Linked DNA regions of Rattus norvegicus. The protein of the gene in region 1 purifies or fractionates together with the protein of each later gene. This does not show direct contact. Links are inferred from orthologs where the notes say so. Each region holds a gene or a part of one and is shown in the gene's direction. Other genes may lie near its edges.

What was found. Proteins that work in one complex are often made in the same cells at the same time.
Region 2: the proteins of Ppp2r5d (region 1) and Ppp2cb purify together in Homo sapiens (affinity purification with mass spectrometry; 8 studies listed by BioGRID and IntAct, counting the BioPlex papers as one, with this or other methods). This does not show direct contact. The link is inferred for Rattus norvegicus from reciprocal best matches to the Homo sapiens genes PPP2R5D and PPP2CB.

Annotation. Positions count from the first base shown.
Region 1 is NC_086027.1:21,772,107-21,777,052, forward strand, and holds the start of Ppp2r5d (serine/threonine-protein phosphatase 2A 56 kDa regulatory subunit delta isoform), read left to right. Parts: upstream 1-1,786; coding exon 1,787-1,813; intron 1,814-4,946. UniProt on the Homo sapiens protein: The B regulatory subunit might modulate substrate selectivity and catalytic activity, and might also direct the localization of the catalytic enzyme to a particular subcellular compartment.
Region 2 is NC_086034.1:65,268,477-65,272,757, reverse strand, and holds part of Ppp2cb (serine/threonine-protein phosphatase 2A catalytic subunit beta isoform), read left to right. Parts: intron 1-2,347; coding exon 2,348-2,557; intron 2,558-3,432; coding exon 3,433-3,606; intron 3,607-4,281.

The DNA of each region.
Region 1 (4,946 bases):
TGTAGGTGCTCGTGGAGGCCAGAGGAAGGCGCCACAGACACCACCACTGCCACCTTCCCCACCCCCCACGGCCATCTTCCCACTCCCCGCAACACCTCCCCCCCACCCCCCCACCCCACAGCTGGAGTTACAGGGGGTTGTAAACCAGCTTATGTGGGTCTAGAAGAACAGCAAGTACTCATAAACACCGAGTCTTGTTTTTTCTTTCCCATTCTGTTGTTGAAGTTTTAAAATTATGTGTATGTATGTATGTATGTATGTATGTATGTATGTATGTATGTATATGTGTATCAGATCCCTTGGGTCTGGAGTTACAGGCAATTGTGAACTGGCTCATGTGGGTGCTGGGAACTGAATTCAGGTCTTTTGGAAGAGCCCAGCCCCATCTTTTCCATCCTCATGGCTACTGCTCTTTGTGTAAGGATCATTGGCTATTTAATTGTTTAGTTATTTGTGCTGCTGGGGGGAATCCAAGGCCTCTTACCTGTGGAACAAACAGCCACAGGCTTACTTGTTACTTTTTAGTTCTGAGAGTTGGTTTTGTTGTTGGTGGTGGTGGCCAGGTGGGTTTGTCTTTGTTTTCTGTTTTGTTTTGTTCTAAGAGGTTCTCACTGTAGTCCAAACAGGTCTGTAACTGGCTCTAGCTAAGGCTGGTCTGTAGCTCCTGATCATCCTGCCTCTACCTTCCCAGGGCTGGGATTACAGTGGCAAACCACCACACCCAGCTCACCGGCTTATTTTTGATGGACCTCCTCCAGTTTTTTAATGTAGTCTGTTGGCTACTGGGATAACTAAAATATATTCCTCCATGTCACTCTGAGGTTTGTGTAATTTATGTGATTGTATTTTAATCATCTCTTAATACGAGTCTGTGAACCTCATTAGAGTGGGAACTACCTGAGGGCAAGAACCCAGTCTTATCCACTAGAACACTGGCTTGGGTGCGGCAGCACAGGTAGGGATAGGTTTTCTGGGACACGGAACGATGAGGCTGCTTTTCTACTTCATCTCAGTGGCTCAAAACGCAACTGGTTTACTGACCCCAGCACCCTTGCAATAGCTACAGGAATCCACGTCTTGAAGCTGCAGCAAACCAAGGTTTCTTATTTTTATTTCAGTCCGGTTCCACCGCTGATAGGCTTCCCCCTCTGCTCCTCTACAACGGTGATCTAGGACAGACTTGATGAATGCCCGGGAGGACCCTTGGGAGTCTTCTCTATCAATTTCACATGTTCAATTTGAGCTACTTTAAATTCCTGTGAAGAAAGGTGCCCTTTCGTGTTAGGGCCTCTTTCCTCCAGTCCGAACGGAGCAGGGCAGGTAGAAGAGTAGGGGAAAACGTGAGAGCCACTTCTGGAGGGAAGGAGCAGAGCTCAAAGGACTGAAGAATAGCAGAGGACGACGCATAAGGCGACGCCGGAGTGCAGCTCTGCCAGCCCAGCTCCGGTTTCCCCATGGCCCCGCCCCCTCCACGAAGCCCGACCCTTTCTAGGGCGGGACCTTCCACTCCAGCCAATTCTAGGAGCCGAACCCTGGCGGTTTGTACTCGTTCTTTCCAATGAGAAAAAAGGGAAGCTGCTTGGCTCCAATGACCAATCCGAGGAGGCGGCGCCTGGTTGTCAGGCAGGTTTGTAAGAGTTCGGGCCAATTGGAAGCGCAGCCACCGCTCGGCCCGGGCGCAGCGCGCAGGCGGTGGCGAAGAGACGCCGAGCGGGCCGAGTGCGGCCGAGCAGAGCCGGAGCCGGAGCGGGGCCGCAGGAGCCGGGCCGGGTGTGGACCGGCCGAGATGCCCTATAAACTGAAGAAGGATAAGGTGAGCGTGGCCTTTCCCCTAGTGCCTCCGCCGCCGGGCCTGCGCGCAGCTCTGGGAGGGGCCCGAGGCAGGCCCGGGACAGCCTCAGACTGACCCTCTGGTCCGGCCCCCCGCAGCACTCCCGCGGCCAGCCCCAGGGCCGCGCGGCTGGCAGCGCCCCCAGCCCGTGCAGCAGCTGGGACAGCTCTCTGTCTTTGCCCGGACAGATTTCCCCCCACCTATCCCTCTTCCCTTCCTCTTTGCTCCTACCCCCGGCCCCCTCAAGATCTGCTCCACTCCCAGCTCACTCCCTTGCTTTTTCTCCCCGCCTTTCTCTGTCCCTGATCCCCCACGGGTTTGGGACAGTCCTCCTCTAAGACCGCGTCTCCCTCCAGTACTCCCCCCACCCCCGCCCTGTGCAGCCCCTTCCCTCTTTTCCCCACCAGCTTAAAGACGGCCTCTCCACAGTTCTGTACAGTCCCTTCTCCCTCCACGACCAGCCCCTGACCTAGAACCGCTCTGCTTTTTCTCTCCTCCGCCCAAATCTGGCCTAGGCCCCTCCCTCGAGTCTTCCTTTACACACAAACTTGTAAGCCAGGACCGAGCCCTTCCTTCTGTTGATGGAACCCCAGAACGTCGGCGCTGGAAGGGAGATTTTGAGCACATGCAGTGTATTATCCTAGTGGTACAGATGAGGAGACTGAGGCCGTGTCAGGGGAAGGGACTTGTCCAAGGTCACACATCCTGCTGAGGGCCCAGCTGCAATCTCAGGTCTCCCGACTTGGAGGGCTCTTCTGTGCAAGAGCCTAACTGGCATCAGCTGGCTTCTGTGTTCACCCCAGACAGGACGCGGTTCCTAATCTGAGGAGGCTCCTCCCAGCATTCCTTAGGATAACCTTTGCATTTTCTATTGTGCACCAGGACAGGGTTTCTTCCTTTCTTGGGACATATTAAAGCAGAAATCGGCCCTGTTCTGTTTAGTTGCTTCTCGTCCTGCAGTCCAGCCATCCTGAACATGCACACTTGGTTGTAAACGTCCTTACACGGGACATTTTTGTATTATTTGTAGTGCTAGAGATCAAACCCAGGGTCTTGCCCATGCTAAGCATGTGTAGTACCATTGAGCTACACTCCCGCCGCCTAGGCCATTTCTTGATGTTTGCCTTCTTTTACCGTCTTTTACCTCCAAACCACCCTCACCTGTTCCCTGCCTTTCTCTACCCTTTGTTTGCTGCTGTTGCTGAGATGTGTGGTTCTTCCAAGATGCAGACTGTAACTGGGGAGGCTGGAATACTAGTTGTGTTGAGCTAGCTCTGGCCTGGTATTGTAGTCCACTCTCCTGAGGACCCCAGAGGTGGTTTGCATTCATTTCTCCCCTGATCAATGGTGGGCCACCATCTCTAACCTTATCGATCAAACTCCTTATCGTGTTTGCCAGGTGGCTCTGGTTATGGGCTGTCACCGGAACTTCTCCGTCTGAGAGTCAGTGCATAGGACGGGTGGTGGGTGATGAGCCGGGTATAGTTGTGTGCCCTCCCCAGGTCTTGTCCGTGGGGAGTGGGCTCGGCAGTGGGCGCCAGCCAGCTGTAGGGACTGCGCACTTAAGTTAGCTAAGCTGGGAACTGAGGCCTGCGGAGTTCAGGGAAGGAGAAGGGATCTCCTTAGGCATCTGTTTCTAGTCTGTGGACCAGATCCTGTCCCATCTGTAGAAAGCCTTTGCCTAGCGGGTGACTGAGAATTAGAGGGGACATTCTTAGGCTTCCTCGGGCTGTGAGTGGTTTGCTTGAGAAGGGGCACTGGGAGGATTGCGGTGTGGGGAAGCAGCCGTGGAGCCCTTTATGAGAGCTGATCTCCTGCACTGGATTTTGGGCTGCATTTGGCCTCCTTCGGGTTCTGAGGGGGAGAGAGATGACAGTGTGACTGAGGTGTACCAGGATGGAGGCACAAAGACAGGTGGGTGGAGGCTCCTTATTGCTCATCCGTCACCTGTCCCTTTTCTCCTCGATATCTGTCCTCCATGCTTCCTCGGCCAAGCCTTTCCTGGGCCTTCACTTGGGCCCACTTTACAGACTGCATTCAGGCTTGCATGGGAATGACACATCTTGCCCTTCCTGAGGTATTAACAACTGTGTGCAGGCTTGGTATGTCCCTTACACACAGTAGGTGCTTAGTAAGTTGGTGCCGAGTCTATCTTTGGTGAGACGAGCAGCTTTCCCTTCTGAGATTGGATTTAGGTCTTTTTTTTTTTTTTTTTTAATTTTCCTGCATGAAGTACCCCTGCTCCCTCCCACTTTGTTGTTTATAGTAGCAGTCTTAATCGACATTCGGATTTTCTGTGCCAGACACTGGGCTAAGGGAAGTGGATCCTACGGTTGGCTTTTGTTTAATAGGTGAGGAAAACGAGGCAGAGAGAGGCTCATTACCTCCTCACCGGAACATAAGAGTTGATCTCAGAACAGTGCTGGCTGGAAAGCCCAATGCCTCCTGTCATGCGACAGCTGGGCCGGGCCACAGTGTGTGTGCTTCACCTGTTCTTCAGAAGACAGGGAGCAAGGCTTGTGGGCCCTGTTCCCCTACACCCACTCACACCCACACACCAAGGCAGCTGAGTCTCTCAGGCACATTCCCTGAGAGATGTGTCTCAGGCATCGTGCTCAGCGCCATAAGGTGGGTGGAGGGGTACAAGAGGCTTAGGCAGCTTATGATCAAGTAGGGAGACAAGCCTTGAATGGTGGTGGGTCAGCTTTGTTGGAGGGCCCATGTCTGCTGTGTGCTGTCAGTCACTTTGGTGCTGGGTCCTGGCTGCATTTTTTTCTCTCTCCACCACTTGCTCAGAGCAATTGACAGGAGTCGTGTGGCCAGCCCGGTCAGTGCAGTGGGAGAACGCTCAGCCCAGAGAGCCCCTTCCTCCCTAGGCAGAGCTCTCAGCTACTCCTCATCCGGGAATGTTTTTCCCTCTCCACCCCCAGAAAGCCTCCCCCCCTGCTCCAGCCCACACAGAACTCTTCTCCCTGAGATCGGTTCGCCCCATAGTCACAATCATTTGATTTAACACTTCTTACTGAAGGGGCTTGGCTGCTGTTGAATTGCAGACTCTCGGAGCTGGAAGTGATTTCCAAGGTCCTCCAATCCAGCTCCCCTCTAAGGCTTGAAT
Region 2 (4,281 bases), on another chromosome or scaffold:
AACAGAAAATTGTGGTCACTTATCACATTAATAAGTCAGTAGGAGATGATTGGGAGGCTCTGCCAGGTGAATTGGCTACTACATTGGGGCTAAAACGAGCCCCTGGCTGCCATGCTGGCTCTGTGGTTAAGAGTGCTTGCTACACAGCCTCGAGGACCAGAGTTCAGACCATGTCATCTGTGTTACAGGCTCAGGAATCACTGAGACCTGTAAGAAGCTCTGAGGGAATCTGACATGGTCTCAGGCTTCTAAGCACACACAGGCATGAACACCAGCACACACACATTCACATACACTCACAGACAAAACTGAACAGAATCAATTCTTTTAAAAAGATAAGACCTTGACCAAGACAGGCTACTAAAACTCCTCAAATCTCATGACTGAGAACTTGAGAAGGGGAGGCAAAGCCATCTATCTCAGTCAAGTTGTAGGCCAACCTGGGCTTCTTGGTTTGTTGTTTTGAGGCAGGATCTAACTAAGAAAAGAGTCTCCTGACTAAAACCACAGACTGTTCTGGAGCACACAGTGTTGTGCTTCGTGTTCAGGTCGTGCTAAGTAGATTCATGGAAAGGGAGGAGTGGGGTCACCTGTAGACACAATCCAGGAGAGTTTGCTAGTACTGAAGTAGACACGATTAACACGAAGTGAGTCGTGGAGCTTAAATCAGGTGTGGAGAGATACTGGCTGGTGTGCAGCTCAGCAGTAGATTATGTTTAGCATGCGTAAGTCTCTGGGTTTAGTCTTTAGCACCGCACCCAAAATAAATAAAGGGAAGGAACTTAAAACATCAAAGCATTAGACTCAACTTTTTTAAAGTCCTGGCATAGTGTCAATTGAATATTAATCATGGATTGTAGCTATACGCTGCTTGAACGTTGAGTCGTGTTCTCAGAAGTTGAAATTCGTCAGTAGGTAGTTTTGCCATGAGAATGTCATGAAGGGTAGTTAAGCCCAACTTAGATGTGGCACAGGAGAAAATCACAGTCGGAAGATGCAGAAAGCACAAAGATGTGTGAGGTTGCCGTGGGCAGAATTCAGCAGAGCGTTTCACGCGGCTTTTAAAGTTCCACAGAAATGCCCTAGCGACAGTCACCTGTGTTTACCTCACATCTGTGGTACATATAGAATTGCATGTGCCTTTTACATCTGGTCACCCAGTAGACTGGATTTTCGTACCGGCATTACTTCACGTTAACCAACGGACAGCTTTGTCACTGGGGAGACAGTGGGAACATCTCAGGACCACTGTTGTCCGTGGTATATGGTCCACCATGATGTCATTAGGGCAGGGCAGGGCATGACCGTCTCCAGCAGTAGCAACACAAATCAGTAAAGACAGTCGTGAACTTGGGAAAATAAATCTGAGTAAGTGGTGAGTTCCGTATTTGTCGTGGAAAGAAGTCGTTTGGTTTATCTGGGGGCTTTTTTGAAACAGGTCTCCCTGTGTACCCGTGGCTGGCCTGGAACTGGCTGCGGAGGTGAGGCCAGTCTAGATGACATCCATCTGTGTAGCTCCATCACACTGGAGCCTCTCACTGCCCTCAGGCCCCACACCCGGTCTCTGGTCCTCTCTGTGCAGTGCTAAGCAGCCGTCGTCTACTTTCTACCTCTGTCGTCTCTTCTGGACTCGGGAGTGAGTGAAGTCATCTGTCTGTCACATAGCTTCTTTGGTTAAAGCATAGATTACAGCACATATCGGTGCGTTGTTTTTATTGTTGGTTCCCACTTACTCTACCTGGTTGGGTGTGCTGTGTTATATCAGCTCATGCTTAATGGGCGCTTGGATTATTTGTACTCCTATCAGCACCTGTTGCACCTCCAGGGGACCTGAGTTCAGTCCCAGTGCTCCTGTCAGGTATCTCATGACCACCTGTAACTGCAGCTCGGGGATCAGATGCCTCTTCTGCTTCCGCTGGCACCTGGACACATGGGGCATACACAGACAAATAAATACAAAGTAAAAGTAAATCCTTCGGGGTTGGGGATTTAGCTCAGTGGTAGAGCGCTTGCTGAGGAAGCGCAAGGCCCTGGGTTCGGTCCCCAGCTCCGAAAAAAAAAGAACCAAAAAAAAAAAAAAAATCCTTCAGCAAAAGAACAGTGCTGCATGGACACTTGAAACAAATTTCACTTTGATTCCTACCAGCGTCACGTAAGGGTTCCAGGTTCTCCATGTCTTTGTAGATATGTCATTTCTGGCCTTTGCTATGATAGCTGTATTTCGGCCCATCCCTTTGTAGGGTATTGGTTTACTTTATACTCCCAAGTGGGTTTCCCCACATTTTTTTTTTCAGTAGGTAAGAAATGTTAAGTTTGTAACCGAATATTTATTTTCCTTTTTTAACAGGCTAAGGAAATTTTAACAAAAGAATCAAATGTACAAGAGGTTCGCTGTCCTGTTACCGTCTGTGGAGATGTGCATGGCCAATTCCATGACCTTATGGAACTCTTCAGAATTGGTGGAAAATCACCAGACACCAACTATCTATTCATGGGTGACTATGTAGACAGAGGATATTATTCTGTGGAGACCGTGACTCTTCTTGTAGCATTAAAGGTATGATTGATGAATGTGGGGCGGGGGTGAACTTCAGAGGAGGCCAAAGGCAGAAGAATGTGCAGCATGAATCATCTTTAATTTCATGGTGCGTTTGGTCTTAAATAATAGTTGGCTTTCCATCTTTTAAAGAGAGAGGAAAGTCTATGCTTAAAACTTCCGTCTATTTCTGATGAATGTGTAACTCATGGTTGTCTATAACTGAGCTCTGGAATTATATTTAATTACCAACCTTCATATGGAATCATTAAACAAGTGTTTAATTCACGGCATGGGAAGCCCATTGCTCCTCTGACTTCCTGTTTGTACTGCCCTGCACTCCACACGTCTGCCTTCAAGATCTGCTCCTTTCATCCCTGTGTTGACTGCCGGATGAATCTCAGCTCCTGTCTATCTTGCTACTTCCCTGTTCCCAGAGTCCTCTTTGATGTCACACAGTCACGAGAGTCAAACCCATTAAATGCTGCAGCTCTCCTGTAGTCTGTCTACATTACCTGCCTGTAACTCACAGCAAGAGTGTCTCCCCTCAAAGAACATTTTTATTCATGCTCTACTCTAGGCTTTTCTGTTTCTTTCTCTAGTTTCCCCACAAGATTGCTCTGGCTGCTTCCTTCTTACTACTCCTGCTCAGACAAATGCCTAGGACTTCTAGATTTCAGAAAATTGCATATTCATAATGAGATGTCTTAGTAGGGGACCCAAGTCTAAGCATAAAATCCACTTGTTCTATATATATCATATGTATATACCCGTTCTTAAATTTAATTTAAAAATGGACAAAAGAATCCATTTCTTAAAGAAATGGATTCGAGGTTAAAGGTAACAGCACTGGAGAGACGTGGTTGTGTGACGGGTTTCTTTTCCTTGTCTTCCAGGTGCGCTATCCAGAGCGTATCACAATATTGCGAGGAAATCATGAAAGCCGGCAGATCACACAAGTATATGGCTTTTATGATGAATGCCTACGAAAGTATGGGAACGCCAACGTGTGGAAATACTTTACAGATCTCTTTGATTATCTTCCACTTACAGCTTTAGTAGATGGACAGGTGTGTGTATATGTGGGTGACGGTGTCTTGCAGAAGGAGGTTAAATGTGGGAGAACATTTACTATCAGGCATCCAGGATCTGTATTGACAAGTTATGTAAGTCTCTGTCTATTCTGATTAATACAGTACTGGGGAGTTAAACCTGGTGCCAAGCCAGGGCGCTGCCCCTGGGCTACAGCCCCGTTCATGATTTGGTTGGTTTGGCGGTGGTGGGTTTTGGGTTTTGTGTATGCCTATTTTGGAGGGAGTCTCACTCAATTGCTCAGGCTCAGACTTGACCGTACTCTCAGCACAGCTCAACTCTCCTGCCTTATGTTCCCAAGTAGCTGGGGTTCTAGGCTTCAGTCACCAAGCCCTGCTTCCCCTGCCTCTGGTCTTCTGGCCAAAGAAGATGTGTGCCCTAATGTGTGCTCTAAAAAACAAAACAAAACAAAACAAAACAAAAACAGTGTAAATAAATGCTTAAGTCTTGGGGCATATATATTATTAGTAACACAAGATGTAATTGGAAATTGTGCCCATATTACTACGTTCCCTGGTTACCATTAGTAGCTTTTTATTCCTATTTTCATGATAACTACAAACATAATATTGTATATTATATCTTTTTTATCAAGAGGGATCTCTGTTTCCAGCATAGTAAGTTTTAAGGCATACATATAAGACATTACACAG